2 linked regions of the Stegostoma tigrinum genome follow. The protein of the gene in region 1 purifies or fractionates together with the protein of each later gene. This does not show direct contact. Links are inferred from orthologs where the notes say so. Each region holds a gene or a part of one and is shown in the gene's direction. Other genes may lie near its edges.

The links.
Region 2: the proteins of igf2bp1 (region 1) and stau1 purify together in Homo sapiens (affinity purification with mass spectrometry; 3 studies listed by BioGRID and IntAct, with this or other methods). This does not show direct contact. The link is inferred for Stegostoma tigrinum from reciprocal best matches to the Homo sapiens genes IGF2BP1 and STAU1.

What each region holds. Positions count from the first base shown.
Region 1 is NC_081384.1:4,736,790-4,752,816, forward strand, and holds the start of igf2bp1 (insulin-like growth factor 2 mRNA-binding protein 1), read left to right. Parts: upstream 1-7,047; 5' UTR 7,048-7,327; coding exon 7,328-7,502; intron 7,503-8,711; coding exon 8,712-8,772; intron 8,773-16,027. UniProt on the Homo sapiens protein: RNA-binding factor that recruits target transcripts to cytoplasmic protein-RNA complexes (mRNPs). This transcript 'caging' into mRNPs allows mRNA transport and transient storage.
Region 2 is NC_081372.1:32,626,121-32,642,180, reverse strand, and holds the start of stau1 (double-stranded RNA-binding protein Staufen homolog 1), read left to right. Parts: upstream 1-7,912; 5' UTR 7,913-8,100; intron 8,101-16,060. UniProt on the Homo sapiens protein: Binds double-stranded RNA (regardless of the sequence) and tubulin.

The sequences.
Region 1 (16,027 bases):
AGTTTATTCTCTTTGAAATAAAGGCTAGCATTTCCCTTCCTTATTACAGTTGAGTTTGTATGCTGTTTGTGATTAATACATCAGCATCCCAAAGTCCTCTGTGCTGTGGCTTTCTGCAGTCTTTATTTGAATATTCAACTTTTTTCCCCTATTAAGGTGAATAACTTGACATTTTCCTATATTACATTCCATTATATAATCAATTTTCTTCTGATTTTCAAGTAAAATCTATCTGACTTTTCTGATTTCTGTTTGAAGCTAAACCATTAGAATTTGGTAGAATTAGGCAGACTGTTGAACTGGAAAGTACATTGTACAGCACAGAGGGATAAGGACGTTCTTGTTGTGAAATACAAAAAAAAGTTAGAATGCAGGTGCAGCAAATACTTAGGGCGAATACTTTGGCCTTTATTGTTTGTGGTTCGGTATTTAAAATGGAAACTCTTACTATAACAATATAAGATGTTGGTGAGGCTGCACCTGCGGTATTGTGTTCTGTTTTGGTCTCGTATCTAAGTGGATACACTGATGAAGGGTCTAGACCCGAAACGTCAGCTTTTGTGCTCCTGAGATGCTGCTTGGCCTGCTGTGTTCATCCAGCTCCACACTTTGTTATCTTGGGATTCTCCAGCATCTGCAGTTCCCATTATCTCTGTTACACTGATACTGGAGGCTGTTTGAGAGACTCATGAGGCAGATACCTAGGATGAAGGGGTTGACTGATAAAGAACGGCCAGTTTAGACTAAAATGAAATAAAGAACTCCAGATGCTGGAGACCTGAAACAATGACCAAAATTCCTGGAGAGACTCAGCAGGTTTGGCAACATGCGTGGATAGAAAAACGGAATTAAAAGTTTGGAAGCCAGTGTCCCTTTGTCAGAACCCTTTTTTTTGGTAAAGAGGTTAGGCCTTTATTCATTAGAATTTAGAAGAATGAGGGTGATCTTGTTGAAACATTCAAGATTCTGATAGATCTTGATGCGGTAGGTTGAGAAGATGTTTGCCATCATGGGGAATATCGAAATAGGGAACACAGTTACAGAATAAGGGAGCACTTGTTTAAAATTGAAGTGCAAAGGAATTTCTTCTCGAATGATAGCGAATGTTTGGAATTTGCTATCCCATAGAATAGTGGAGGTTAGATCTTTAAAGATATTTCGAGGAAGTAGCTAGATTTTGGAAATAGCCAGGAGTTGAAGGCTAAACGTAGTTGGTACGAAAAAAGAATTGAAGTGCGGGGCAGATCAGCCAGTATCTTTTCGAAGACCGAGGCAGGTTTGAGGGGCCGAATGGCCTACGGCTCCTATATTGTATTAGTTTCGGAGTTAATATAGTAGGAAAGAGCTCGGGGTTTGACCCTGATTGTTGTTGAGACACTCTGCGAACTCATCTAATTATGAATTGAATTCAAAACCAAATTTAACTTCCAAAAATGGAATAATTCGACCTTCGCTACCTGTGTCCCGTGGCAACTTCAAAATCCTACTGAACAAAACCTGCTCCTGATAGCTGAGAGGACTGGAATTGAAAGAAGCCGTCAATACCTTCCCGATCTGGGTATGGGGAGACGGGAGGGCATGAATAAATCGATGTAAAAAGTGTTATAGCAAGATATCTTCGTTAAAGGCAAACCGCTGAGGACCCTGGGAATCTAAGAAGAAAACAAAGTGCAGGAGAAACTCAGCAGGTCTGGGAGCATCTGTGGAGAGAGCATCGGAGACCTAACAAACTCTGCTGTGATTAGTACCCCAGTCTGCCCAATTTCTATCCTCATTCACACTTTTTACATCGCAAAACTGAATTTTGTTTAAAAGTTAATGGCTTTAAGTGATGTTTTTGGTTTGCAATGCATTAAACATAAACAAGGTTCTTTTGAATGTGTGATGTCCTCCGCGACGTTCTTTCATCAGACATCCTGCGCCTTGCTTCATATCCAGAGCTCTGAATAACCCCATTCAATGTTTATTGGATTTAGTTTGAAAAGGACGGTCCGTTCCCCATTGGCATCAACACGAACTGTGACTTTACTTCAGAGTCTGGGTTCAAAGAATATCTAACGATTCATATAAAGATAGATTTATATTTTAAATAAACCAACTGTATAGGCATGAGGTAGCAGAATTAACTTAGGATTGACTGAATCTTGGGATTAGTGAGACAAAGTTTTGTATGTCATTTTCACAGTCTCACGGCATCCTAAAACGCTTCACTATCGATGAAGGTATAGTCGCTGCTGTAGCAAAAGCGACAGTAAAATCGCGCACAGCAAGCTCCCATAAGGAGCAATATGAGCACGTACTTATTTAGCTGGTCAGATGTCTACTAGCGTTTAAAAACTATATCTCTATTCGTGAAATGAACTTAGCAAAAGTCAATATCCCTTTGTGGTTTTTTGACATGTTGGTGTTCCTTTCTAATATTTTAATTTTGACTTCGAACAATCATTTTAAACAAAAGTTTTCCATTGACAGATTTGTTGTCTCTGAAGTCCATCATTTTGTCTAGATTTCTGAGTCGAGTTTCTTCTAAGGCGATTCATTAAAATGTTACCAGTTAACTAGTTAGAAGTCAAAGAAGTTTCCAGAGTTCAAGTGCATGGTCTCCGAGTGAGATCTTTAGTCCAAAGACAATCTGGGGTAGAATTACTCTGGGGAATTTACGAAGCGATCATCAACAGAGTGATTTGAGCAGGCCCTTCTCATTTTGCACAACATTCCTCTCATACGTGCCTACCCTAACGAAATGATTCCGAATTCCGATTCGAAGCAAATGAAGTTTCTGTGGAGAGAAACCAGAGTTAACATTTCGAGTCCAGTAACCCTTCTTCAGAACGTGTTTTTATTTGTAAAGTCTCATGTTCTGCAACTCTTTTTTCCAGTGAGGTGCACACTGACGGTTTTATACGTCCAATTGTTAACAATAATTAAGACTTGCCTCCAAACTAATTTCTAAGTCGGTTTTATTTGGTTCAGTATAATTAAAACGCAACTTTGTCTCCAAGTAACAATCAAATTGTTCCGCTCCTACAGGACACTGACTCCGCGACGTCAGTTACTGTACCTCAGCTTCCACAGTCCCATTCATGTACAAGCTGAGTGGTTAAACTCATCAGGGACATGTGTAGATTTAAGGCGACGATATCAAACTTTTCTCTTCACACCCTTGCTTCCAACTCTGTCCTCCCATCCCTATTATTTATCCTGATTTCTGAAGTTCCCGCAACATTTAACGTGTGAAGTTCTTTCCCTTCACTTTTCCAACCTATTGTCCAGATGATCACTAACAGCGCAAAGAGCGAAACTGTTGATCTCTGCGAGTTTTCAACTCGACCCCCGCGCCCATGACAACCACAAACACACACAAAAAACATATTTTAACCTAAATTGTAATCACAGCATATTGTGCGCTCTTCAAGTCCAGATCTCTTTTCACAATGAAACAATCTATGGCTCCCCCACAAGTCAAGCCACGGGAGCCATCATTATTGCATCCCTGCGGGTGTAATTACACGATCCAAATGGGTCGAGTTCACATCCTGCAACAGGTACGTGCCACTGAGTTAATGCCAAGCGGTGTTTAACTCTCGCCAGATAAGTTTACCCCGTACCCCATCGCCAGACACTGTGGGTCGCGTCTGGGCAAATTTGAATTGGCCGGGGGAAATGTGGCGAATATGTCCCTTTGAGACACATCTTTATTTTCCAAATCCATTCATTTAAGGAAGCATTTACATCTTTAAAGCGCCTTTCTCAACATCAAGGCTCTTCAAGGTGGACCAGAGTCAATGACATGACCGGTTCAGTTCTCACATAGTCTAATCGCGCACAACAAGATCCCACAAACAGCAATGTGGTTTTGGTAGGTCCACCCATTCCAGTGACTGATCTGAACGGTGATAACGTATAAAACGTTCAGCAGGACACTGGTCCGCAAGGTTCTGGATTCAATATTCCCGTTCGGGGAACGGGGCTAGGGGCGGCGGCGGGACAGTTACTAATTAGGCTACAATAAAACGCTGCCGACTCTCGACAGGCCAATATATTAGAACAGAAACACAGTTTATTCCAAAAGGCTTAGTATTTGAAGGTAGAGGTCGATACATTTTTAGACACAATTAGAAGGAAAGGATCCGCGAGTAATACTCGAAGACAGAGCTGAGGTGACATGATCTTATTGAATAGTAAATAGTAACAGAAAGCCGAGGGGCCGAATGACCCACTCCCGCTCCCTTGTGACTTTCTTCTTCTGTGGAATAAGCTTCTCCCGGTATTCGATGTTGACAGTTTTGTTTCCAAACACATTAATGAGCAGGACCTGCAAAACACGTTCTTCAGAAATTGCTGGCAAAGCTCAACAGGTCTGGCAGCATCTGTGGAGAGAAATCGGTTAAGGTTTCGAGTCGAATGACAACGTTAACTGTGATTACACTCCACAGATGCCCTCCAGACCTGCTGAGCTTTTCCAGCAGTTTTTGTACTTTTTTTGTCTGATTTACAGCACCGCAGTTCTTCCGGTTTTTACAAAGATCTATTGGAATCCAACAGTGATCCTTACCGAATTCTGGTCTTTGTGCAATTGAGCCATTAAATTGAAATGTGGAGCGTTCTGCCGCGTAACCTGCTGATAGTTGCAGTTTTGCTTCACCTGGTATCTTGTGTCGTTTTTCGTTATTCACAGGGCAGTCAGTAATCCGTGAGAATGGAATGGGGAGGGTGGGGGGCACGGTACGGTGGGGGGCCCCGTTGGACAGGAGGAGGCCGCTCGGTCCCTTGAATGTGCTTCTCTCTAAAATCAGAGCATGGTTAATCTGGAGCTCAATTCCATCCTGCCACCTCCTCAATCCTTTCCTCTCTTTAAAAAAAAGGGAGAAAATGTAAAGATCACTCAGTGTGAGATTATATTTCCCACTGCTCCAATCATGGGTAATCATTGTTGAACATATGGAGCTCCTTTGTTCAATACGAATAACGGGCAAGTTACAAGATAGCAGCTTGTATATGGAGATTGTATAGAACTGTGTAACTAACTTGAGAGAACAACGTCCTGACGTCCTATGATTTCTCTCTGGAATAAATTTCGCTCGGTATTCGATGTTGACAGTTTTGTTTCCAACCACATTATAGGGCAGTTCCTGTAAAACACGTTCCTCAGCAATTGCTGGAAAAAAATACTCAGCAGGTCTGGTAGCCGCTATGGAGAGAAGACAGAGTTAAGGCTTTGGGTCCAATGATCCTTCCCCAGAACGGCTTTGCTTTTTTTTTAACGAAACGTTAACTCTGCTTTCTCTCCATACATGCTGCCAGGCCTGCTGAGCTTTTCCAGCAATTTCTGATTTTGTTTCTGGTTTCCAGCATTCGCAGAACTTTTTTTTTGGTTTGATGTTCTTCTGGATTCTGGCCTTGGGAATATTGGACACATGTTTGAGAGAGAAAAAAAAGCGAAAGTTCACGAATGATCTCCCAACGAACTTGCCTAAATATTCCGTCGGAGACTTGCGTTCTAAACTGTGTCGTGGACTTCACCCTCAGAGAACATGGGAACGGTTCCAATGTGCAATATTTACCTCGTGCCAACTGATAGGTGGCGTGGGTGGCTGGAGATGTAGGTGGTAATGCGGGGATGATGTGGGGAGGTATGGGTGTGGCAGTAAGTTTGGGGTGTGCGGAGAGTGGTTAGAGGGATGGTAAGTTAGCAGCAGAGGTTGGGAGAATATTTTTTAATGGGTACAGCTCTTTTGATAAAGTCATTCAACATCAAAATCTCTCCCATTGAAAGATCTTTTACAGCGATTCCCTCACAGGACGCCCAGAGGCGGTCTTTTCAGACATTGCTGAGTCGGTTCAGCCCCAGGGACTAATATTGAGCCACTGCTCTCCTGTGTCTTTATGGTTTGACCCTATGCGACTGTTGTAAGGACTGTAAACTCCTGATCAGAATACCTCTGCAGAAACGCGAACTAGAAGAAATCAATTCTAAACCGTGTGGATTCAGAGTTTCCTGCTCGTTTAGAAAGTTACGGGGAACCGAGCAGACTCCTTGTAGGAGTCGAAATGAACTCAATCCCGTTCACATCCCGGGGCGATGTGTGGGTTTTTTTGCTGTTGTATGTGATGAACCAATTAATTCTTAGCTTACCGAGCAACGGTGGATCGAGAATGATTGTAGAGATGAAGGGCACAACACTTCTCATCATACTTAAAATACATTAAAACAATCGATAACATTCACCTCACTCAATGCCCTGCACTCCTCAAAGAAATAGTTTCAGAATGGGAGGACACTTGGAAAGTCACTTGGGTGTTGGTGAGTCAGGAATTCGTTCCAATAGAGAGTTTCTGTGAAAATGCACTTCCTGTCGAAGGTCAATGGGTAATTTTCGATATTAATTAATTCTTTTATTTGGAGTTAGAACTGATCGCTCCACTCCTGAAGGAGCTTGTGTTGGCTGTAACGGATGGCAGGCAGATGGGTACGGAACAGAGGAGACAGTGAGCGTAGTGGTGTCCAACCAGTAACTCTTTCATCAAAGCTCAAAGTGTTATAAGATTCAGAAGCCGAGCCCCCACCCCCTTCCTCCCCACTCTCCCCCAAAGCCTCCTCGACTGAGGAAAACTTTGGCGCCAGATCGCCATAGCTCATTGAGAAAAAAATGCCACCACCCAGGAGATTTTCATTCAAAAAAAATCCCTCCTGAGTAAACATCCTCCAGCAGCCGGCGAGAGCTGGGCGCTGTTGCAGTGCTATTGAACAAACCCACGTTATTATGGGACTGGCGTGAAGGGCTCTGCAAGTGGGGGGTGGTGAGGAGGGAGAAGCAGCCAGGGTGATGTTGTGTAGTAAACAAAAGGGATTTTTGTTTGTGTGTGGTGGGGGGGGGGGGGGGGGGGGGCTCGGAGGGAGGTGAAACTGACGTGATCTTCCACGTGAGGGGCCGGCCGTGTGTAACCACGTGGACCTCTCCCAGGCAAATATTTCACTCATTTTTTAAGGTCGATTTTATTTGGAGGCGGTGCCACCAGCAACGTCCTGTGACATTTTCAGTTTGACTCAACGGGGTTTGGGGGTAGCAGATAGACTTTCACAGCCCGCCATACCGTTTCATAACTCCCTGTTTCCGGCTAACACTTTTTCTTTGGCCGTTTTGTGTTTTTCTCTCTCTCTCCTCCCTTTGCAACAACCGTTTACCATTTTAGTTGCTGCTGCTGGTGGGGTTTTTTTGTGTTGTTGTTGTTGGATATATCATTATTTCGAAGGTGCTGTTATAATTTTACACCCTCCCTTCTTTGCTCACCCCCCCAAAAAAACAGAGAAGCCCTAAGAATCACAATGAACAAGCTGTACATCGGGAATCTGAGTGAGAGCGTGACTGTGCCAGAGTTAGAAACTATCTTCAACGACTGGAAGATTCCTTTTTCTGGGCAGTTTCTACTCAAAGCGGGCTATGCCTTTGTAGATTGCCCAGATGAGAGCTGGGCAATGAAAGCGATCGATACCTTATCCGGTAAGCGATTTCAACCGATATCCAAAACGCAGGGGAGAGCTGAAGCTGTCTTGAGAACGCCGTTCACTCGGCGAGATTCTGTGTTCCTACCCAGTTCCTAGCAATGGCCTACCTACCTCCTACTCCTCCAGGCTAGGAAAAGGTTCTGTTCTGGAGAGAGTTGCACTGGTCCCTTTTTAATTTCTGACCAACACGTTAATGATTCGAGTCCTCCACTCCCTCCCCAAAAAGCGTGACATGTTGATTGTACAGAAAGATAGATAATAGAGATTTTAATGTAAAGATAGGGGGTGGGGGTGGGTGGGAAAGACGCGCCAATTCCTCCTGTACGTGAGAGGGGGCTTTATGTTTCTGGAAACCAGCAGGTTCTCTCTTTTTTTTAGTCAATTACACTCAACACACGCGGCGTTTGACCAAAAAAAAGATAGAGGAAGAGTCAGATTGCTATTCCGTCCTTTGGGAAGAAATCGCAGATAAGGAAACCCAGTTGGGTCAGATCTTTGGATCTGCTGCGGGATCTGGTTCCCACCACCCCCCCCCCCCCCCCCTTCCTTTGGATCAGGGTGTCTCTTGGAGAGAATGGTTCGATGCTAGCTAGTCCTTCCCCTTAGTGATAGTAGGCCGTCATTTGCAAGCTCCGTTATAATACCACGTTAGCAGTTTTAATTCTGTCTCTCGTCTCTTCGACACCCCCTCCCCTTCCTCAGGCGACCAGTCCGGGTAACATTTATCCCTCCTTCCCTCTGACTGGCCCCCCAAAACGGCGGCTGTAAGTGAATGCCGGTCGCCCCCAGCTCTCTGAATGATTCCTGAAATTGAATACAGCCTGTGATGGGGCACACACAGAGCCGAGGTCGGCCATACTGATTGTGAAAATACTATAGGACTGCAAGCATGCAAATGTCTAGGGCGAAAACCCCTATGCTATCCAGATAAAATATAACTTTCAGGTCCGATATATAATGTATTTCCATGTGTGTTGGATATACATAGCAGCGACCTCATCCTAAAGTTCCTCAGTAACTTACTAAGGAAATTAATCCTCAATTATGCACAACAGATTTCAACCCTCACACTCTTTTTAAAAAAAATGACAATCCATCCTGATAAAAACAGGGGTTCATTTCACCCAGTGTGTTTGTACAAGTGTAGACGAAGAAGGCGAAACGCTATTTTACTAAATAAAATTCAAATCGAACTTGTTTACAGGTAAAGTGGAACTCCATGGGAGACACATAGAAGTGGAACACTCAGTACCCAAGCGGCAGAGGTATTAGCAATTTCAATACTTGTTTTGCTTTGAATATTTATTTGGCGATATCCTGGAGAGTTGTTATGAAGTGAATTAGACATTTGTTTCTGGTTCCTGCTTGAAAGTGTGTGTGATTAAAATAAAATAGACGTACAAAGTTGTGAAGCTCTTCAGAGAAGCTATTTTTAAAAAACTGTGGTTATACTGTGCTGCAGTATGGAACAAATTTCAAATTAGTTGTTTCCTGAATCTATATGATGTTATTACAATCTTGAATTGAGGCGAAGTAGTGCAGCAATTGTGGGCAGCAACCCGCGGCTGGAACTGCAATGTGTTTTTCTGGAGATTTAAAGCGACGGGCGACAAAATAGGTTCAGTGTCGAGGAGCTGGATCCAGTGATTTTTGTTGTAGCTTTAACGAGCTCTTCCCGCTTTTCTGCTCAGAAATTTAAAAGGTCACGATTTGAGAATGGGGAGAGGGTGGACGGTTAGAGATGCACCATTTCCAACACTACCCCCACCCCCAACCCCCCACCTTTGGCGAAACCGCTCAAGTAGATCACGTTGCAAACGCTGAAGCCTTGCTTTGGGTTCAAATCTCATTTGACTCCAAAGCCGATTCCGGGAACGCCTCGACCTACGGGAGAGAGCTTGCAAGAAATGAGCTGAAGGGGCAGTGGGAAAATCAATCTTCCGAGTTTCTTTACCACCCTTTCCATTTTCGCTTTGAATCGCTAAGGGACGCGTTGTCTCGAAACTAAGGATTCTTTGCAACAGAACTGTGCGAACACGTTGGCATTTTCATGTCCCTATATTGCTCTGAGTGCAATAGTTAACGAATTCTGTTTGATGTGTTTTGCCATGCATGACCTTTTACAAAACGGGATGCACAATTCCAATAAGAAAGTTTGACTGAGTTCTCATTCAGAAACCCAAGTTAAAACATTGACCCAGAATCTAACATGATGGCTATTCAGTGTGGAACCTGGTTTGGGTTACAGACATACCTGTAAAAGTATTTGCTTGTTCTTGCTTTAAAGTATTTGGTGCATGTGTATCTTTGCTTATTCTGATAAACTGGATAGTGCCTGTTGTAAAATGTCTATAAGTGCTGGTTCAAAAGATACCATAAAAGAAGTTAAGCACTGGATTAGAAATAATCACTTGATATCAATTCATATTATTATGTATTTAAAATGATAGAGTAGAGAGAGCAATTTATTAGTTCGGTTTAGCTGCAACTATTGTCCTCCATGTTAGCATTTTAACCAGACAGTTGTATGCTTTGTAACGCAACATCATCTGGTGTGTTAGATATAATCCATGGAGGTTTGTAAATCAAACTGTGCCCCCCCCTCTGTATTTTCAAAAGGCTGAAGATGAAGTTTGAATCAGCCAATTTGAAAGTTTTGAAAAGTAGTTACAATATTCAGCAAAACATAATTTAAAGTCAATTGTCATGGCTATAATCAATGATTTTAAAAAATCTGATCAGAACATTCAAAATTTAGTTAAGAACCTTTTGCCTTGTTCTTTATTGATGAACCTGGTTTGGAAGGAATGATGAGTAAACACTAAATATATAGACTGCAAACACAATTTATTGTTTTTACTGCCCAAGTTAGTTAAAAAAATTCAACAGTTAAAATTCAATTCTTTGGTGGTGGTGAACTACCTACATTCTTTACTGCTTTATTTAAAATATTCTATTATGTTTACATTTACAAAATTTAAAGACTTTGCATATGAAACCTTAACATCCTGTCTTCCTGAAAGAGATGTAACTATTTTGTTTTGTTAAAAATTAAGCACTTAAAATTGTTTTTGTGGAAATTTTGCTTGAAATTCTGAAGATCCAAAATGCAATGTTTGTGGTAATATCCATTGGAGTTTTAGCTTTTTCTTTAAAAAAACTGTGAAAATAGATATTAAATAGATCAATATAGAAATCTAAGTAAAAGTTCAAATGAAATAACATTGTTACTCAATGGAGTATTGTCTGTGTGTACTTAAATGTTTGGTTCAATGATCCTATTTACTGAAAGGATAAATTGCTGAAATTCTGAAGGCAGATAAAATACAATTTTATAATAGATTTAGTGAAATTAACTTTGTTGTGTTTGCTGTCAATCTGTCATTAGAAAAATGGATATCTTCTTGTATTTCATAAGAACATTTGTAAAACAAAAGTACAAACCTATTGCTTCAAGCGTGTTTTCGATTGTTACAAATGGTTTCAAGTAACTTAAGAGTTCAGTAATAGAAGTGTAGAAACTTTCATTTTATATATGAACATATTTAGCATTGATCAAGTGTAATTTTACAAAATTTTGTACTGACTGAATTCTATTCATAGGATTTGACTCTTAAGAAATAGTTGTGAATCTAGAGAGATTTTGTTTGGTAAATAAAATGAGTATTATAGTGTTTATCATTCTAATATCCTTTACTTTAAGATAAATAAACTGGCAATGGACAAAAAAGTTAATAAAATTCAGCAAACTAAGTTTACACCCTCGCATACATGAACAAAAACAACTTCATGTTTAACCATACAAAAACGTAATAAAAAATAAATGTCACAAACACTTGCAACTCTGTTCACAGTAAAAAAAATGTATTGATTAAAATGCTGGAAAGGTGTTAAAAATATGAATTTCTTGAAATTACTTACGAAGCATTGACTTCAGAATAGGGAAAACATCATTAAACATTTTGCTTAAAGAATACTTCCATTCCCATCAATTTATCCTCCCCGACCCAGAAAACACAGTCATGCAGGAACTCTATCAGCATCTGAAAAGGGAAGAGACAGGTTAACATTGATGGTGCTTGAAACATTAATTTCACTCTAGCCCATTCAGCTACAAAAATAAAGACTCTGTTGTTTCTCTTTAACCACTTTTATTACAATTACAGAAAGGTAACTTTTTATATCTTTAAATAAAATGAGGAAATAATAAGTTTAGCATAATCAATTTCATAATCAAATTTAGAATAACATTTATAAAAAATGAAATAGTAATTGAAATTTAGGAAAAAGAAGTTTAATTTTAAAATAGACTTTGCAAGGAATTAGACTTCATGGGTTATGTTCTAAAATATTTTGCGAAATCAAACAAAAACATTTTAAAGTAAACATATAACTTTAAGCAATCTGGCACAATTTACCCTAATGTCTGTAAAGTAGAAATGGCAGATATATCTCACTGTGTAATGTTTAATTGATATAATTTGTAGATCCTGAAATGACTGTCATACTTAAAATTATGGAGAAAGTTTCATTCCAGTTTTGAAATTCAATATTAAAAGAAACAAGGAAATATTACAACAAAAGACAACCAAACATCAAAATAACCAATGCATTTGCTAGAAAAAATGGACTATACAATTTACAAAGGAAATGGTTGATGTCTTCATTTGTAATTTCAAGTAGCTTAAGTTTTTTGAATGTTTGGCAAGTTACCATGATTAACACAAATGGATGAAAATAGTTTGAAAAATTCCAGGTTTAGGCTGTTGCAATGCTGACTTATCAAGACATAGAAAACTTTTTTAAAAAGAAGTAAATAATGGTTTCATTGATTTACAGAAATGGCTTGATAAGAGTTCTATGATTTTATCCAGAATAGCTGAGATAAACAGAGGTCAGGAACAAATTCCACTCCTAATTTATGCTGAGTTGGCTGGTCTCAGCCAGTCGAGTGGAGAGGGTGTGGTGGAGAGCTGCACAATTGGCCTTGGTATCCTTAAGAGGAAAGTTGCCGAGGATTCTCACTTCTGCTTGATAATCAGTACCTCATCCTGAAAGGATGAATCTCTGGCTACTGGGTTAAATCAGAATTGGATTTATATGTGGTGTCCTTCATGGGTGGCTACATTGCAAACACTTGGAGACAAATTTAAGTTACAAATTAAATAATTACTTGAATGAGGATTCTAACATCTCCCAGTATGCACGGAACTGGGCAAGGAAGGGAAAATATTGCCTACCAAATTGCATCCTTAAAAATAGCAAAAAAAAGCAACTTCCATAGACTTCCACTTTTAAAGCTAAGATTTATTTCCTCATTTTTCAGCAACTTGCAGCTTTGATGAGACTAAAATCTTATGCAGAATTTAGGAAATCTATTACAGTTAAGTGGAAACGTGCATTGTTTGGTGCTGAGGCCTTTTGTAGATTCGTTATGTACAACTCAAGTAGTGGTAGGAGTTGTTTGTGGCTAAGAAACTCTTGCCAAGCTGTAGTAGTTTGTTGACTTTATGAATGGAAAGGATCCCCATTGGTGTTATATACTGTGATTCAAACTTGTTTTTCTTTTGTCTGACAAGGTGGAGCAAATGACTTTATTGAATTTTCCTAAATTACAGAATAGGTGACTGTCTGCTTTTGTAAAAAGAAAACTAAAGTAAGATCCATTTTTTAAAAAACAAATCCTCCTGCTAAGTTGCCACACAAAATGGTGGCATAAGCCTTTCCTCGTTTCTGCATAGGTCATTATTGAGCAAAGCATGACCTTTGACCCAGACTGGAAGCACATACCCTATACTGCTAAATGGATTCCAGAGCTGCGTTACTGAAACCCCTCTCTCCCTTTCACTCAAAACCTGCAGAAAATTAATAATGTTACACATTTCTTAAATACTGAAATGTGTCTGTGTGTGTGGGGGAGGGGGGAAGAAGCTGTTTCAATCTGAAAAGCCCTTTGAAGTTTTCTCTTTCCATGTGCACACTTGTGTGTGTGTGTGTGTGTGTGTGTCTTTCGCTACCCCACCCCCCACTCCCCACTCTCATTGTAATTTGCAGTTTCCCTCCCGTGTGCACCCCTCACCCTCAGGCCTTTTAAGTTCAATAAGTAGAGCATTCCTAATCTATATGCTCATCACACAACAGAAGGTCAAGAGGTGGTGTCAGGACTGTCACATAGTCTAATTGAGCCTAGTGGATCAGTTCGGTCGGGCTGGAGGAGGGGGGGAAGTGGAAAGGAAGATATTTGATTTGGTTACATTTCTTAGGCCACATGTAATAAAGGTTCAAGTTTTTATCTCTTAAAAAAGTGCTGCCAGAGGTGGAAATATTCACTGTTCAAACAGAATAACCTTTGAACCATTGTTAAAGGAACTGAGGGTTGCACGCAGAATGTGAAGTCAGTTGTATGTTGGTTTTTTTAGTGGGGGTGGTGGCGCTGAGCGGAAGAAGGAGAGAAAGCAAGAACGATTTAATATCAACTCTGAAGGTGCATTATTAATTGGGAGGTCCTGTTAGGTTCCTGGTTGTGAGACCATATAGCTTGTACAAAACTTTAGCTATCCCAGTGCAGCCTCTTGAATGCCTTGAGCCAGTTTCTTAGTTTTGAATCCATTTCCAGTTTAATTCCTTCAAAAGTAATGGCGGAGTTTAGTAGACCAATCACAACAATCGTGAACAGATCTGCTTCAGATTGTAAAAGTCAGACAGGCTCTCTTGAAATAATTCAGAAAAATTTAGTGCAAGAAAAACGTACAAAGGAAAATAATTTGCACAGATTAGTGAGGTGAGTGGTCAGGATTGTTCTTCCGAAAATTTAGACGATCCACATTGATGATTACTGAGGTGGGGGCAGGGGGATGCTAGACAGCTTTTCTTGACTTTGCTCTTTGCAAAATTTCAAACACATGCCTGCATTTGTTTGTCATTGGGAATAGCTTTATGAAATCGTCTTTAGTTGAGCTAACAATCCCTTTAAGACTACTAGACAGGGAGGAATGTTGCTAAGGCGAGGTAGCAGAGTAGTGGAGGAGGATAAAGAAATTATCTTGAACATCTTTAAGGCATTGATCAAAAATTGGAGGTTAGCACTAGAATCTGTCTCTTCAGGTAGTGCAATGAGTAGAAGCTTGTTGGGTGATCACTGGTTTCAAGTACTAAGTTCACATTAATTTTATTACATAGATTTCAGGAAATTCTTACCGGTGTTTTGGGATTAGATTCTACAATTCCATACATTTTTCCATGAGATTTGTAAGCTAGTTGCCATTTTATTCAGTTAAAACATTTATAACATTATATCTAGAACCTCAACTCATCTAAGTATCCTTTCTAAACAAAAACTTATTTTAATTGACTACACAATTTCAAACAATATATTATATGTTGCAATCCATCAGCAACAGAATTTGTGATAAACCTGTATCCACCAATATCTCACTCTAGTGTTACACAGATAAAAATGTCTTTCCAGATGTAACCCACTTTTGAGGGTATAAAATTTATTATTGCACTGCTGAGCTTTTGTTACAGTTCCATGGGACCCTGAATGAAAGCCCACTATTTCCCAACAACTTGTTGAATTAAAATCCTGGAAATATTACTGAATAATAAACAAATTCAGAATAAAATTAGAAAGAAAACTTTCATTTATATAGCACTTGCCATCATCACTGGATATCTCAAAGTACTTTGCAACTAATGAAGTACAGCCACTGTTGTAATATAGAATTCCAATATACATTGTTATTAACTAAAATTGAAGCACATTGAAACCCTTTTAAGAAATTGATCACACTTAAATTGTACATACCTAGCATTTTGAGTTAAGGACTCAAATGTTTTCTACCTTTAGACATTTAAAATATACATAAACCTTACTCAACATTCTTATGTGAAATGCAAGTAAAATGTTTTGTGCTAGATTGGGAAAAGAGTTAGATATAACAAGAACTATGAACCAGATAAACAGTTTTGTGTTTTTAAATGAATGAAAACCTAAGAAAGCTGACACGCAACGGATTCCATTCGTAGTATAGAATGTATAGAATATTCCTGTTAATTATTATACATAACACCACATAGGAGCTGAAAGTAGCAGGGCTTCAAGTGTACACTTCTTTCTTTGCTATTACCTCTTAATTTGTTACACCACCTTAGCTACACCCAGATGACCCAAAGCATATGAACAAAATTTTCAAAATTTGCAGCATATTCATTGCAGTCACCCCTTAGTTTGAGATTCAATTTGAATCTAGCCCATTTGTTATTGGAAGAAACTACTCACCTCTCGTTTAGAGGGATGGTATGTGAGTTTGAGGATTCTTATTACAGGATTTTGTTTGGGAAGATGTGCAGCAAACCATAAGCTGCCATTAAACAACAGAGCTCACAAGGCAGGCTGATTGTGGTCATTGTTCTCCTAAAGCTAGGGCTCTGAGTGTTGCTGGGAAAAAGTAAGCTTTCCCTTTCTTTTGATAAAAAATAGCCAGATTGGGACGTCAAGCAGGACCGAGATGAAAAATA
Region 2 (16,060 bases), on another chromosome or scaffold:
GTTTGGAGTATTGTTGCAGTTTTGGTCATCACACTACCAGAAGGATGTGGAAGCTTTGGAGAGAGTACAGAGAATGTTCATCAGGATGTTGCCTGGTCTCCAGGACATTGACTATGAGTAAAGGTTAAGAAGACAATTGTTTTCACTGGAAAGGTGGCAGCTGAGAGGAGACTTGATGGAGGCCTACAAAATAGAGAGGCATAGATAGGGGGATAGATAAGCTTTTTGCCAGGGTAGAAGTTTCAATAACAAGGGGGCACAGGTTCAAGGTCAGAGGGGGAAAATTTTAAGGGAGATGTGTGTGGGGTGGTAGCAGCCTGGAATGCATGACCAGAAGAGGTGGTGGAAGCAGGCACATTGAAGACATTTAAGAGGCATCTTGATGGGTACATGAATGGAAGGGAATAGATACAGATTTTTTTTTAAAATGGCAGGTCTATTTTTAATTAATTAGGGCAATATGGTTGGCACAGGCCTGGAGGGCGAAAGCACCCATTCTTCTGTACTTTTTCATTTGTTCAAGATTTGTTTAATTGTGCAGTTGGCATAAAAATAGGTGAGAAGTCTACAGAAAAATATGACCAGTTAAGTGAGTGGGTAAAACTTGGTACACGAATTATTACATAGGAAAATGAGGTTATCCACTTTGGCAAGAACAATAAAGCAGCTGAATATGATTTAAACAGCTATCAATGACATGGGTATAGAGATTTAAAGGAAAAGAAGAAAATTATTCCAAAGCTACTTCAACATTTGTGTATTTATCTTGCCATATGTCGAAGATTGTGTTAAAGGATGCAGGGAACTTGAGGAATACAGTAAACTTAAGATAATGAAAAATATATTTTCAAAACAGACAGGGCAATTTCATTGTGTCATTAAAACCTCTCACCAATTGAAAACTTAATGAAACTAGTATTGGACCTCCAGTTTTAGAATAGACAATAATATTGTCTGTCTACATTTGTAGACAGAGACCAGATTTAATCTGCCAAGCCTGATAATAAAGACAAAAATAATTATCAAGAAAATATTTTTTTAAAAAGTGGATAACAGCAGGATTGGGAACACCAGCTCAATTCTTAATGAACAATGGAGAAATGGGGAATTCCGGAGTTTGTACGAGAATCTGGATGTTGTAGCCTTGCATGCAACAACAGGAAAAAAAATTTGAGAGAAATCACACTGATTACTAAAACGCTCTGAATAGGTTTAGCTGATATACGGAATTGATCAACAAATGCTTTGGATAGTACATGGTGTGGATAGTACATGCAAGAAGTATGCTTCGAATGGTATGATATACACCTCTCATAATTAGTTTATGACAGAAATCCTAAACTACCTTCAGAACTGTGGGATATTATCTCTATAGAAAAGACTACAATTAGTTCAAAATTTTTGCAGAAAATATCAGTGCTGTGCATTCGTTCAGAAAAGTATTCATTGAAGCAGAAGGTTTCTGAAAGGTTTCAGGAGTGCTTAGAGGTCATAATAGGCTGTCAAAAAAAAGAGCCTGAGATCATGGTGTATTATCCAAGGGACAACATTAGAAAACGTTATTGGTACTGATGGCAAAGCATCACAACCTAAAAAACCATTAATAGCACATTGTGCATGACTACTTGGAACTAACTACAAATTGACAGAACTTAAATCGATGACAAATTGAAAGTGCACTATGCACTTTGCGCATACACACGTAAGCTGGACCCTTATGGATACTTGATTGTAGCAGATATCAGGCTAAGTGCAGGTGGACCAAGTGATGGTGGTAGTAGAAACAGCAGGAAATGCCGTTAGGAAATTCTAGAATCCTGCCTGAATATATGAGAGACAGACTCAGGTCTATGAATTGACCTAATACTGATTGTAGCACAAGAAAAAGATCAAAAACTTGGGTAAGGAAGTCCGGTTGTAGGAAGGTTAGATCAAGGACTAATAGGCCAGGAGGTCCTCATAACGGTAAAGGCAAGAATGTATGAGGAGCACCGTACGAAGTTGGAGCCCTTGTCATAATCTCAAGTGACTACCAACTAATTAGACAGTAAATCGGTGAAGGCAGAGTAAACAATGCAACAGTTGCAGAGAGTATACCCATGCATGCCAGATAAAGGGCACCCAACATTGTTCCAGTTAGATATCTATGGAGAAAGTACTTCCTAATAATATATATATAAATCTATGCCGAGACTTCAGGAATTTGAGGAACAGTTGGGTGATAAAACAAAACAAAAGTAGACTGCTCAACAGCAGGAAAACTAAGTTTGAAGATTTTCCTAATGTACTGATGAAAACACAAATCCATTGCCAAAACAATACTTTTCCAAAAGAACAATTTTTCATAACAGAAATATCCACTTGAAAATGTGTCATACAAAAGAAGTTGAAGACATAAGAGATTAATGCACAAGATTAGAACATGGAATTAGGGGAAGTCTATTGTGATGGAGAGGGAACTGGTAAATTTCAAATTGGTAGGCAGTAACTAGCAGGATGCCACTGGGATTGGCGCTGGGACCCCAAGCTATTCACAATATATGTTAATGATTTGAATGAGGGAACAAAATGTAACATCTCCAAGTTTGCAGATGATACCAAGTTGGGTGGGAGGGTGATCAAGAACAAGAATACAGAGATTCTTCTACAAGAATCTTGACAGGTTGGGTGAGTGGGCAAATCAATAGCAGATGTAGAATAATTTGGATAAACGTGAGGTTATTCACTTCAAAAGCAAATTACCTGAATGGGAGAGGGGAGTGTACGGTGGGCCCAGTCATCCTTTTGCACCAGTTGCTGAAGGTAAGCATGCAGATGCAACAGGCAGGAAAGAAGGCAAATGGTATGTTGGCCTTCGTTGCAAGAGATTCTGAGTACAGCAGCAGCCATGTGTTGCATTTATACGGGAGCTTGGTGAGATCACATTTAAAATATTGTATGCAGCTGTGTTCTCTTCTGAGGGAGGATGCTGTTTTGAGGGAGTGCAACAAAGGCTGATTTTGGGGATGGCGGGTCTGACGTAAGAGGAGAGACTGACTAGGTTGGGATTGTTTTTGCCAGAGTTCAGGTAAATGAGGGGGTATTTCATACAGACTTAAAATTCTAACAGGACTGGACAGATTAGAGCAGGGAGGACGTTCCTGATGGCAGGTGTGTCCAGAACCTGGGATCATAGCATGAGGATTCAGGTAGACGATTTAGGATGGAGGAGGTGATGTTTCTTCATACAGTGGTAAGCCTGTGGAATTAATTACCACAGGAAGCAGTTGATGCCAAAATGTTGAATGTATTCAAGAGGTGACTAGAGAAAGCATTTGGGGTGAATGGGATCAAAGGTTATGGGGAGAAACCATGGACAATCAGCCATGATGGTGATGAATGGTGGAGCAGGCTTGAAGGGCCAAATGGCCTCCTCCAGCTATCCTCTAATCTGTCAAATACAAAACACGTTAGAAAGAAAGGAAATTTCTAAAATAAATGGTCAGTGTAAGCCACCAGCTATTGGATTATTTTACAAAAATGTTTGTTCAAAGAAATTGTTGAACATTTTTGAAGTGGGACACCCAGAATTTGAATTTTGAGAATACAAGTATTCATTGTAATCTTATTGACTTTTTTCAAATTGGAATTATGGAGTATGTTAAGGATATTACGTAATGTTTTCTTATGAATGAGCTTTTGTTTGCATATTAATTTATTTATTTTGGAGAAAAAGAGGGATGTCTGTTCGTGTCTAATAGGTTCAGGTGATGAGCATTAAATACCTTGTATTTAAAGAAAATAAGGTAGACAAGTGTTGGGTACTGTTTGGTTATTTATACATAGATGTATTTAATCCCTTCCAAATACATTTTAATTCAGAATTCTCCTCTGGATCCTTCAAAATTTTGAATTAATTTTTTGTGCCCCTCGGGTTGTTTTACTTTCATTTTGTTTGATAATGATAAAATCTGGATTCCTTTAAAAAAGAAAACAGCTAGCATTTAGGAAGGGATATTTAGAATGAAGATGTAAACTCTGCAGCATGCAAGTCTCGACCAAAGCATCCTAGTCTCAGTGCATTCTTCACAAATAGGCTCTGTGGTCCTTTAACACACTTGCACAAAAGTTAATAACTCAGAGCACTTCAGTCAATTGTGCCACCCATACTACTATTTCTAAAATAGACAGGGAAAACACAATTTTGGAGTCTTCCTAATTTGTATGGATCAGAAGCTGCCATTCAAATCTAGTAGCAAAGCTGCATAATTTTATATAGGAAGGTATAAATCTATGTATGCCTCAGAACTTTCACTAGAATGTAGTTTTAGTCAGCAATATATCTAAAATACATAAGAGAATCACCAAATTTAAAGGTCTAAATCACATGTGTAGAGTATCTTTGAATAACAGTTTGTACCTAAAATCAATGAAGACAACCGATGGTGAAGGTAGATGAAGCCAAAGCTTAGTTGTGCAAGGGCGCTGTTGGAGTTAACTGAAACTGACATTTTACAGCAGAGAACTATTTAGCTTCCTGCTGCTTAACACATAATATTATCAATTTAGTATTTCATTATAGGCTTATTTTCATGCATGTAAAATGCCAATTCCAATCACTCATCTTTTCCCTCTACACTAACTGATCAATTGTTCACCAGGCTCTCACTCAAAAATAGGACTGCACAGTCTGCCATATAAAAATGATTTAGTTTTGTTTTTAACTTCCATTATTTTAAGTGTCAGTTTAGAACCACTTTAATCCCAAATAAACCTTTCCAAAGGAAGATTATCTGTAGTTAGTCAAAATACAACTAATACTAGATATGAAGCACTACTCGCTGTACCCAAATTGACCTTTCCAGAGGAAGATTGACAGCATACCAATTTAATATATAGTTGATTAAAAACCAAAAGAACTGTGGATGTTGTAAATCGGGAACAAAAATGAAAGTTGCTGGAAAAGCTCAGCAGGTCTGGCAGCATCTGTGAAGAAAAAAATCAGTTAACCTTTTGGATCCGGTGATCCTTCCTCAAAAAACACATCTGGATTTAAAGCCATACCACAAGTATACATCAGGTATTTCAAATGAGGAGCATGGTCACTAGCAGAATACATCATGAAATGACTGAATGCATTGCCATCATCCTCCAGGCAGGTACAAGTGGCAACCTTTCCTTTTGTAAGATTATAGTTTGTGCTGTGCTTTGGTTCCAGTTGTGTTTGCTGCAGAAGACAAGTATGCTGATTAAGTTCATGATCCTTACCCCACCCAGTCAAACAAATTAACTCATCTCTTGCAAAGTTCTTCCAGCCAGTCTCCAAAGATCATGGCTATCAGTGACTGTCACCTAGTTATCAATGTCCATAATTTTCTTATCTCACTTGCAGATTGCCTTGTTTCAAGATTTCATAACTCAGTAGCTAATTCACCATACAGAAGGTGTTTTTGTATACTGCTGGCCATCCAAAGCAAACTTTAATGACCTAGCATTGAGGAATAGTGATGGAATTAGTACATCCCAGCACCTCTGAGTTGGAGACTATGAATATGTCTGAAACAGGTAATATCAAAACCATTTGGCTTTTCCTAATACCTGCATACTTTATTAAATTTTCACCACTGTAGAGGATTGCACTGAGGACACAGGCTTGGGAAGACTTAAAAAGTTTAACATGCTCAAGTTGTTGTTCACACTCTTACGTGGAAACTGAATAACAGTTGCAGCTTTTGTAATCTGTGTTGATTTCTGCATCAAGTAACAGATTTCAGGACTTTATGTAATCTAGATAATGTGAAGCTATCAACAATCTACTGTGTTCAAATCACTGATATTCTTGGTGTTCATCTCCAATGAGATTTATCTCTGTTAATGCAGATTTTTCACCATTTAATGGATTTTAGTGGATCATTGTTATTGTCCAGCCTCCTATGAAATTATCAATGAACTATAAAACAAAAAAATACCCATAATAATGGTTCATACATCATATAAACTTAGTAATTGATATTGATTTTTTGAATTATACTGGCATTTATGGCAGTTGGTGCATTAATTTTGCCAAATGCAGTGTATTATCAAATTACGTGAAAAGCTCAATGTTGCTCTAAAACAAATATAAATTGTGCATAGCGAATATTAATCAGAATTTTGATATTGTGGTTTACTCTAAGGTGGGTATCCCCATCAAGACAGCCATTACAGTTTTTGGAAGATAGAAATGACTATCAATGCAGCCCTAGAAACTTTTTCTCAATCCTCAAAACGGTGGTCTTCTGGACAGGGAAAGGATACTAAAAATCTAGAAAAAAAATCCTACTAAACATTGCTGATCTGATGTTTTTCATTCAAAAGATATTGTGGCATAAAGCAACACCTGCCCTTTATTTGTATAAATCCAGAAAGTACATCAACTGATGGATGTGCAGCCATGTAAGTGAAAACGAGGGTCGTGGGAAATGCAACAAAATGAAAAACGTGCGATTTTGATCCAAAATTAGTTAAACAATTACCTTAGACAACATACGTACCATTATTTTTCCAAAACATTTCAGGACATGAAAATGTAATGTTCTTTTTAAGTAGAATTACAGGCCGTACAATTGTGTTTTGGAATGATGTTATCGTTTCACTACTTCTATTACAAGTTTTGCGAGAACAAACAATTTTCTTCTTACTCATCCGCAAACGCCTATCCCATTCAAGGTCGGCCACTGTCGCCAAAGTCAAATTTTGTTTCCGAATAATATTAGTTGCACAAGAGTGGTTATTTAAGTCTTAACTTTTACAGTGTGAGTAACTGGTAATGGGGATACCAGAACTAATAAGGAGTCAGGGCTATTGCCATTCTCATCGAGCCAGTTGGAAAATAGATTGAAACACCACCACAAACTTCGAGCACACAAAGCAGGTTACCGTTGCAATGTAGTGTCGGAAATGTCATTCAGGTTGGACGTTAGTGATAATGGGAACTGCAGATGCTGGAGAATCCAAGATAATGAAATGTGAGGCTGGATGAACACAGCAGGCCAAGCAGCATCTCAGGAGCACAAAAGCTGACGTTTTGGGCCTAGACTCTTCTGCAGAGAGCTGATGAGAGCTCTGATGAAGGGTCTAGGCCCGAAACGTCAGCTTTTGTGCTCCTGAGATGCTGCTGGGCCTGCTGTGTTCATCCAGCCTCACATTTCATTATCCTGGTCAGACGTTAAACCAGGTCTGAGGAAGGGATCACTGGCCCCGAGGCGTTAACTGATTCTTCTTTACAGGTACTGCCAAACCTGCTAAGCTTTTCCAGCAACTCCTGTTTTTTTTTGGCGATAACAAGGTGTAGAGCTGGGTGAACGTAGCAGGCCAAGCAGCATCAGAGGATTTTCGGGTCTCCAACATCGGCAGTTCCTACTATTTCTGCTTTGTTTTTGGCTCCTGATTTACAGCAGCCACAGTTGTTTCGGGACTTTTTTTAAAAAAAAATAGACGTTACACCAGCCAGCTCTCATATGAAAGACCAGATGCCCCTGTTGTAAGTAAAGTTTTGCACTTGTCGGAGGTGAGGCAAACCACCTCATCAGTGGCACTTTAGTTACGCGCGAGATATTTTCTCCGTACCGAAGTTTTTAAAAAAAACGCAAAATACTGCGGACGTTGGAGATCCGAAACAAAATGCAGAAAGCGTTAGAGAAACTCAGCAGGTACCGAGTAGCGTCTGTGGAGGGAGGAACCGAGTTAGCGTTTCGAGCCCATCCCCATGGCAAGGTCATTTCTGAACATCGGTGTTGCATCAGATAAACCCTAGTGTCAACTGCAGTGACTGAAACGCTGTACGTTACCAAGGCGACAGTGCGTGGTCGAGTCTCCCGCACACGCCCTCTAGCCACCGGTTTAAAGGGCAGTAAGGGGGCGGGGCCTCTGGTGGACGCGGGACGTCAGTTCCGGTGGCGCGCGGCGTTCTGGGAAGGTGAAGCGGTTAAGGTCGGTTCCGCCGCCGGTTCGTCCGATTCTCTTTAGTGTTTGCCGTGTGTCGGCAGCGGGAAGCGGCTCTTCTTTCCTGCTTCGCAAGCGAATGGATTGACTCGTTTCTTCAGAAATTCGGCTTCAAGCTCGCTTTTTTGAAGAAAGGAGGTAAGTTTCGAGTGAAAAGTAGAGGCCGGAGAGGAGGCTACGGGGCAGCGGCCCCCAGCGCTCGGTTTGTCCCAGGAGTTGGGACCCGGCGGATCCGGGCGAGAAACTCTGGAGGAGGGCAGTCTGCTGCGGTGAGGATGACCAGGCCCCACTGCCATCTCGTGGGCCGTCTGAGACCCTTGTGAGAACCCTGCTCCCCCTGGAGTAGACCACCAGCTCAACCCGGTTGGTTTTTGAGTGCTGATCTGTCCCATATCATCTGGTCAGTCCAAACTCAGGGCCCATAGTTTTCCAAAATTCTGACAGCTTCCATCATGCATCCATTTTCCGAAAGTTGGTAAATCCTGAGCAAGTGTTAACAACACCACCTTCCCCAGAGTATGCTAAAGAAATGTTATCTGCCCGAATGAAAATAATTGAAGTGTTGTCATTGGCTAAATCGTGCTCTACAACTGAGAATATCCTAAAATCTGCAAATTACAGACTTTTGGAGTGTAAACGTATCACATACCGTCATTAGCAAAGCTCTTTACCCCGATAAATCAACTGTTTGTGTCTTTCCCAACATCCTAATGAGCAAGTTTGGAGCACCGTTCCCTTTTTAAAAAAACTTTGCATACTAGTGTTAGATGCCTAAACTGTGTTCCCCTCTTCATGTGCATTCCTGATCCTCAGATATGGTCTCCAAATTCCAAGCGACTGCTTTTGGTTTTATTATTTCATGGTCTGTCTCAAGTTGTGAGCTTTGTTTTGTTTTAAGAAACATCTTTTTAGTAATTCTTTTTTGTCCATGAATTATAATTCTGTATTGGCTGGTTGGAATGTACACAAATTAGCAGTTATATGGATTTAAACTTTGAGATTTTCTGCTTCAGTGCTCTCCAGATTGTTGATTTCCTGCTTGTGTTGATTAGTATATTGGTTTCATGGTAATTGTGCAGGCATTACACTATAAAATTGTTGCAGTTAATGCTTGTGTTGAATTTTCTTGGTATTTTGCAGATGTAATCTTCACTAACAGAATTAGGAAACCTGATGTCCCAAGTTACCATTTGTAGCAATTACACATCAGAAGTTTGTGGGAAGTTGGAGATTGACAGGACTGGGACAAATGGGAGGTTGAACATTATTGTAGAAGTTATGATGTATTCTGAATTTCTAAAGCTGTTTGGCTAGGCTATGTGTCAGCCTACAAAGTGGGATGGGCTCACTGAGTGTGGCTAAGGTGACTATTTTAAGAGGCTTAAAGGATATGAAGAGGCAGGAATGTTTTGGGAAGCAGCAGTAAGGGAATGGTTAAATAGTCAAAGGCAGAATTGCTAATGATGATCAAAGGGACCCAAAAAAAAACTAAAATTGGAAACCTCTGTGATGTGTTGCAGGATTGGTAAGTGTTAGAGGAGTGGGCAAAATGAGGTTTTTCAACAGTAGGATAAGATTTTTGAATGTGTTGCATTAACTAAAGTGTCTATAGATCAGTAATGGTAGGATTATATGCAAACAAAGTCGGGGGTTGGATGTGGTCAGTAAGGATTTTGAATGAGCTGAAGTTCTCAGATAGCTAAAATTTGGAGTGACTGTGGCATGGGTGGGATTTTTGGAAGGTTAAGATTTAGATATTTTTAGGTTCTTGCTAAGCATATTAAAGTTACCAAATCAAGGTATGTGAACATTGCGGTAAAAGACCAGCTATGATGCTGAATGATAGAAGAAACCTGGGTTGAATAGCCTAATCCTATTCCTGTTTGCTTTAAATACATCACAGGTGGTTGAACCTTTTTATCTTGTTTTAAGTCCAGTAGTGTATTTCTGCCGGCACAATCACTGAACAAACGGAATTGCCCACTGTACTCTTGATCACCTGTGCTTTTTGTTGATGACTTACTGTGACTTTTTTGCTTATTTACTTCACCCCATTTCCTCTTGTAATTTCTAATAAACTTGCCATACCTGTTGGCAAGGGTTGTTCCTTTTGCAATTGATTATTTGCATTTGAAGTGAAAGTTTCTAATTTTTGATACAAAGCACAACCGTTTTCAATTGTGATGTTAGTTAAGGACCAGTATGTCATTTCAGAGAATAAAATCTCCTGTGACAAAATTAAAAATGGAACAGAGCTCTCCTAATGCCCCATCAATATTCCATTCAACCAAAGCTATTAGAAGTAGAGATAAGTGTGAAGCTGGATGACCACAGCAGGCCAAGCGGCATCAAAGGAGCAGGAAAGCTTGACGTTTCAGATCAGAAGGGTCCCAACCCGAAATGTCAAGTTTTCCTGCTCTTCTGAAGCCGCTTGGCCTGCTGTATTCATCCAGCTTCACAACGTGTTATCTCAGATTCTCCAGCGTCGCCAGTCCCTACTATCTCTATCAGAAGTAAATTTAGCTATTCAGTCACTTGATATGAACATGAGAAATAGGAACGGGAGGAGGCCATTCAATCCTCGAAGCCCATACAGTGAGATGATCAACCATTGCTGAATCTACTCCACACCATTTTCTTGCATTGTCCCAGTTTCCTTTGATATCATTAATATGCAGAAATGTGCCAATTTCTGTCTAAGCTTCCACAACACTGGGGCAGAGTATTCTGAACATTCAGCACCCACTGAAGAAATTCTTTCTCAATTCTGAATGGCCTCACATTATTCTACAACTCTTAATTTTTAATTTAATTTAATTTAATTTAATTTAATTTAATTTAATTTAATTTAATTTAAATTATATTAGATTCCCGACAGTGTGGAAACAGGCCGTTCGGCCCAACAAGTCCATGCTGCCCCTTGGAGCATCCCATCCCCCCCCATAACCCACACACCCCTGAACACTATGGGCAATTTAGCATGGCCGATCCACCTAGCCTGCACATCTTTGGACACTGTGAGGAAACTGGAGCACCTGGAGGAAACCCACGCCGACACGGGGCGAATGTGCAAACTCCGCACGGAGAGTTACCGGAGGCTGGAATCGAACCCGGGTCCCTGGTACTGAGACTGCAGTGCTAACCACTGAGCCACCGTGCCGCCCCTCTTGTCCACTGGTTTTTGACCTCCCCTTGCAAGGACAGACATCCTCTTGAATCTACCCTATCAAGCCATGTATATTTTATATGTTTGAATGCGACTATACTTCATTCTTCTCAATTTTATAAAATAAAAGCCTAGTCTGTTTAATCTTTCATTATAGTGCAACCCCCCATTGCAGAAATTTGGTGAACCATTGTTATACACACTCTTTGCACTCTTACCAAAGATATACTCAAAAATGCACAAATACTCCAAGTGTGATTTCATTTAAAACGTTATGTATTTGCAGCAAGACGTTTTTGTCCTATACTCAATGCAATTGTAATTAAGTTTGGGGTGGCACGGTGGCTCAGTGGTTAGCACTGCAACCTCACAGCGCCAGGGTCCCAGGTTCAATTCCAGCCTCGGCATCTCTATGTGGAGTTTGCACATTCTCCCAGTGTTTGTGTGGGTTTTCTCCCGGTGCTCCAGTTTTCTCCCACAGTCCAAAGATGTGCAGGCCAGGTGGATTGGCCATGCTAAATTGCCCTTAGTATTTACAGGTGTGTGGGTTATAGGAGGATGGGTCTGGGTGGGATGCTTCAAGGGGCGGTGTGGACTTGTTTGGCCGAAGGCCCTGTTTCCACACTGTTGAGAATCTAATTAAGGCCAGCACACCATTTCCCACTTAATTGCTCACTATACCTATGTTGTCAACTTTCAGTGACTCATGAAAAAGGATATCAGTGTCCTCTTGACATTCTCTACTTCCCAGCTTCTTGATGTTTGAGAAATATTCTGTTTGTTTTTCCTACCAAGTGGACAATAATCCATCTGTCAAATGTTTGACCATGCATTCAGCCTCTGTTGATGTCTTTGCGTGCCATCATGAATCCCAAGCAAAATTTTTGTAAATAAGTTTTCTGCTATCAGTCAAAAGTAATCATGGGTTTTAAAAATACTTCAGGATGTCCTGATGGAATGATAATTCAAGTCCTTGCTTATCAAGAGATAATCTTTCACAATAGACTGATGTAGAACGCTAGTGGAGGCAGTAGAGTGAAGCGTTGGGATCTTATGTTCGTGAGATTATGTTGCCATGTCAGAATAAAGGCAGCATCATTCTGATCCATCTTTTTACAACTGATATGACTTAATATCTTAAATGTGTGATTTGAAAAGAGACAGTAGGTATGGAATGCTACAAAAATTTGATCATGAACAGAACTGGATCAAAACCAATTCACTGACCAGAAATATTTGCTGCCATTCTTTGTAAAAGTTGGTGAAAGTCACAATTGCAATACAGATATCTGTTGAAAATCAATTTTGCAGTGCCACAAACCTGGATTAGCCTGTACTAAACTACAATAGAGGTCAGCAGGGCCACTGTTTCATCAAGACTAAACAAATCAAATTCCGTTTTTGTTGCAGTGTGATTCCAAAATTTTGTCTTTGTTTTTATGATGTATCCAAGTAATATTTAACATAATTAATCTTACTGAACCGGGCATGTTTAGTTTGCACTCCAGGTCATAGGTCTTCACTGCTGGTGTTGTTTTTGGAGTTTCTTCAGAAGTGCCATCCTTTTATCTTCATGAAAACCCAGTCCTTGATAGTAACTAGTATCAAATCTACAGGAATATGGTGACTTGCCCTATGGATTTATGCTGGTATCTATGGGTCAAGGACTTCAGTGTGTAGAAAGTCTGGACCATCTGGACTTTCTGTTGGTGCAGAGGAGGTTGAGTTGATGGGACTGATCAAAATCACAGATGATTTTCCCACAGACAGTTTAAAAAAAAAAAAAAATTTGCAAGCCAAAATGATCAGTTGTTCAGTTGTGCGGCATCACACATGGATTTAAGGTAATTGGCCAAATGATCTGAGATGACACGAAATATCTTGCAAACCATTTCTCGCTTGTGGTTGGGAATGTACTGTCAGAAAAGATAGTGGAAGTCGATACATAAGCAATGTTGAAAAGCAAATTTGATAATTGAAGCGAAATGCATTTGAGTAGCGGTTAATTTGGGTTATTGTACCAAAGGTTTGCAAGGACAGACTACACATTTCTATGGTGCAGTATATAATGCTTTGATCAGTCCATTTGGAGAGAAGACGAGATAGGCTACCCTTTTTCTGAAAACACAGGAAAGGCAAATTGAAAGCGTATTGATTGCCATGATTAACAAATGATGACATATTGTTAGGTTGACCTGTTCGTTGATCTTTGTTTCGCTCCCTAGTATGAGAGCGTCTAAGCTTTGATTCAGTTTTTTAGCTGTCATTGCCTTGATAGCATGTATGCTGGTGAAGACAGACAGAGGTTCGTTGTGGTTGAACAGGTTGCTGTGAATTGGAATGAAATTTTGGAAGAGAATGTTCCAAGTTCATTTGAGCCTAAACCTGATCTCCTTACTGAATTAAATCCAGTAGGAACAGTATGGTGTGCTAATCTGTGTTCCCACCTCTTTTTTTGTTTTTTTGTTCACAATTTCTGCTCTTTTCCTCTCCTAAAGTTCCTTGGTGTGGTATGCTTGTACTCAGCACTTCTAGCAGGTGTTACCAGATAATGACTCAAACACATTAAGATCATTAATATCTGGTACCATCCCAATGGAAATGCCCTGACTCAGCAAATTAAATTGCATATAACACCTTTATAGAACATAGAACATAGAACAGTACAGCACAGAACAGGCCCTTTCTGTGGCCTGTTTGCATAATGAATATATTTGTTTTGATTTTTCATTGGAATTTTGTGTCATAGAGGTGTACAGCATGTAACGAGGCCTTTTGGTCCAACTTGTTGAAAGTTGCTGGAAGAGCTCTGCAGGTCTGGCAGCGTCTGTGAAGGAAAAAACAGATGCTGCCAGACCTGCTGAACTTTTCCAGCAACTTTGTTTTTGTTCCTGACGAACGACATCCGCAGTTCCTTTGAGTTTTATTTAGTTGTTCATGTTAGCCAGGTATCCTTAACTAATCTAGTTGCATTTTCCAGTATTTGGCCTCTATCCCTCTAAACCCTTCCTATTCATATACCCATCCAGATGAACAAAGAACAAAGAAAATTACAGCACAGGAACAAGCCATTCAGCCCTCCAAGCCTGTGCCGATCGAGATCCTCTGTCTAACCTGTCATCTATTTTCTAAGGGTTTGTATCCCTTTGCTTCCGGCCCATCCATGTACCTGTCCAAATACATCTTAAAAGACACTATCATGTCTGCGTCTACCACCTCCGCTGGCAACGCGTTCCAGGCACTCACCACCCTCTGTGTAAAGAACTTACCACGCGTATCTCCTCTAAACTTTCCTCCTCTCACTTTAAACTCATGACCCCTAGTAATTGAGTCCCCTACTCTTGGGGGGTGGGGGTGGAGGGGAAGCTTCTTGCTGTCCACCTTGTCTATACCCCTCATGATTTTGTAGACCTCAATCAGCTTCCCCCCTCAATCTCCGTCTTTCTAATGAAAATAATCCTATTCTACTCAACCTTTCTTCATAGCTACTGCCCTCCATACCAGGCAACATCCTGGTGAACCTCCTCTGCACCCATTTCAAAGCATCCACATCATTTTGGTAATGTGGCGACCAGAACTGTATGCAGTACTCTAAATGTGTCCGAACCAAAGTCTTATACTGCTGTAACATGACCTGCCACCTCTTGTAAATACCCTGTCCAATGAAGGAAGGCATGCCGTATAGCTTCTTGACCACTGTATTGACCTGCGTTGCCACCTTCGGAGAACAATGGACCTGAACACCCAGATCTCTCTGTACATCAATTTTCCCCAGGACTTTCCCATTTACTGTATAGTTTGCTTGTGAATGAGATCTTCCAAAATGCATCACCTCACATTTGCCCGGATTGAACTCCATCTGCCATTTATCTGCCCAACTCTCCAATCTATCTATGTTTTGCTGTAATCTCTGACAGTCCCAGTCCCCTTCACTATCTGCTACTCCACCAATCTTCCTGTCATCTGCAAACTTGCTAATCAGACCACCTGTACCTTCCTCCAAATCACTTATGTATATCACAAACAACAGTGGCCCCAGCACAGATCCCTGTGGAACACCACTGGTCACAGGTCTCCAATTTGAGAAACCCCCTTCCACTACTACTGTCTGTCTCCTGTTGCCTAGCCGGTTTTTTTATCTGTCTATCTAGCACACCCTGGACCCCATGTGATTTCACTTTCTCCATCAGCCTGTCATGGGCAACTTTATCAAAGCCTAACTGAAGTCCATGTATATGACATCTACAACCTTTCCCTTTTCAATCAACTTGTTACGTCCTCAAAGAATTCTATTAAGTTGGTAAGACATGACCTCCCTCGCACAAAACCATGTTGTCTACCACTGATAAGCCCATTTTCTTCCAAGTGGGAATAGATCCTGTCCCTCAGTATCTTCTCCAGCAGCTTCCTTACCATTGACGTCAGGCTCGCCTGTTGCTAATTACCTGGATTGTCCCTGCTGCCCTTAAACAACGGGACAACATTAGCAATTCTCCAGTCGTCTGGGACCTCACCCGTGCTTAAGGATGCTGCAAAGATATCTCTTAAAGCCCTGGCTACTTCCTCTCTCGCTTCCCTCCATAACCTGGGATAGATCCCATCTGGACCTGGGGTCTTGACCACCTTAATGCTTTTTAGGATACCCAACACTTCCTCCTTCTTAAAAGATGCTTTTTTAAATATTGTTTTTTTTTAAAACCAGCCTCCACCACTACTGGCAACTCATTCCATACACACATCACTGTATGCTTGAAAAAGTTACCGTTTGGGTTCTCTAGTTTTGGACTCTCCCACCCCAAGGGGAAATACTCTGGTTCTTCACCCTATTCATGCCTCATGATTTTTATAAACCTCAAAGGTCACATTTAACCTGTGGTCCAGGGAAAATAACCTCAGTCTATTCAGCCTCACCCCTATAGCTCAAGCCCTGCA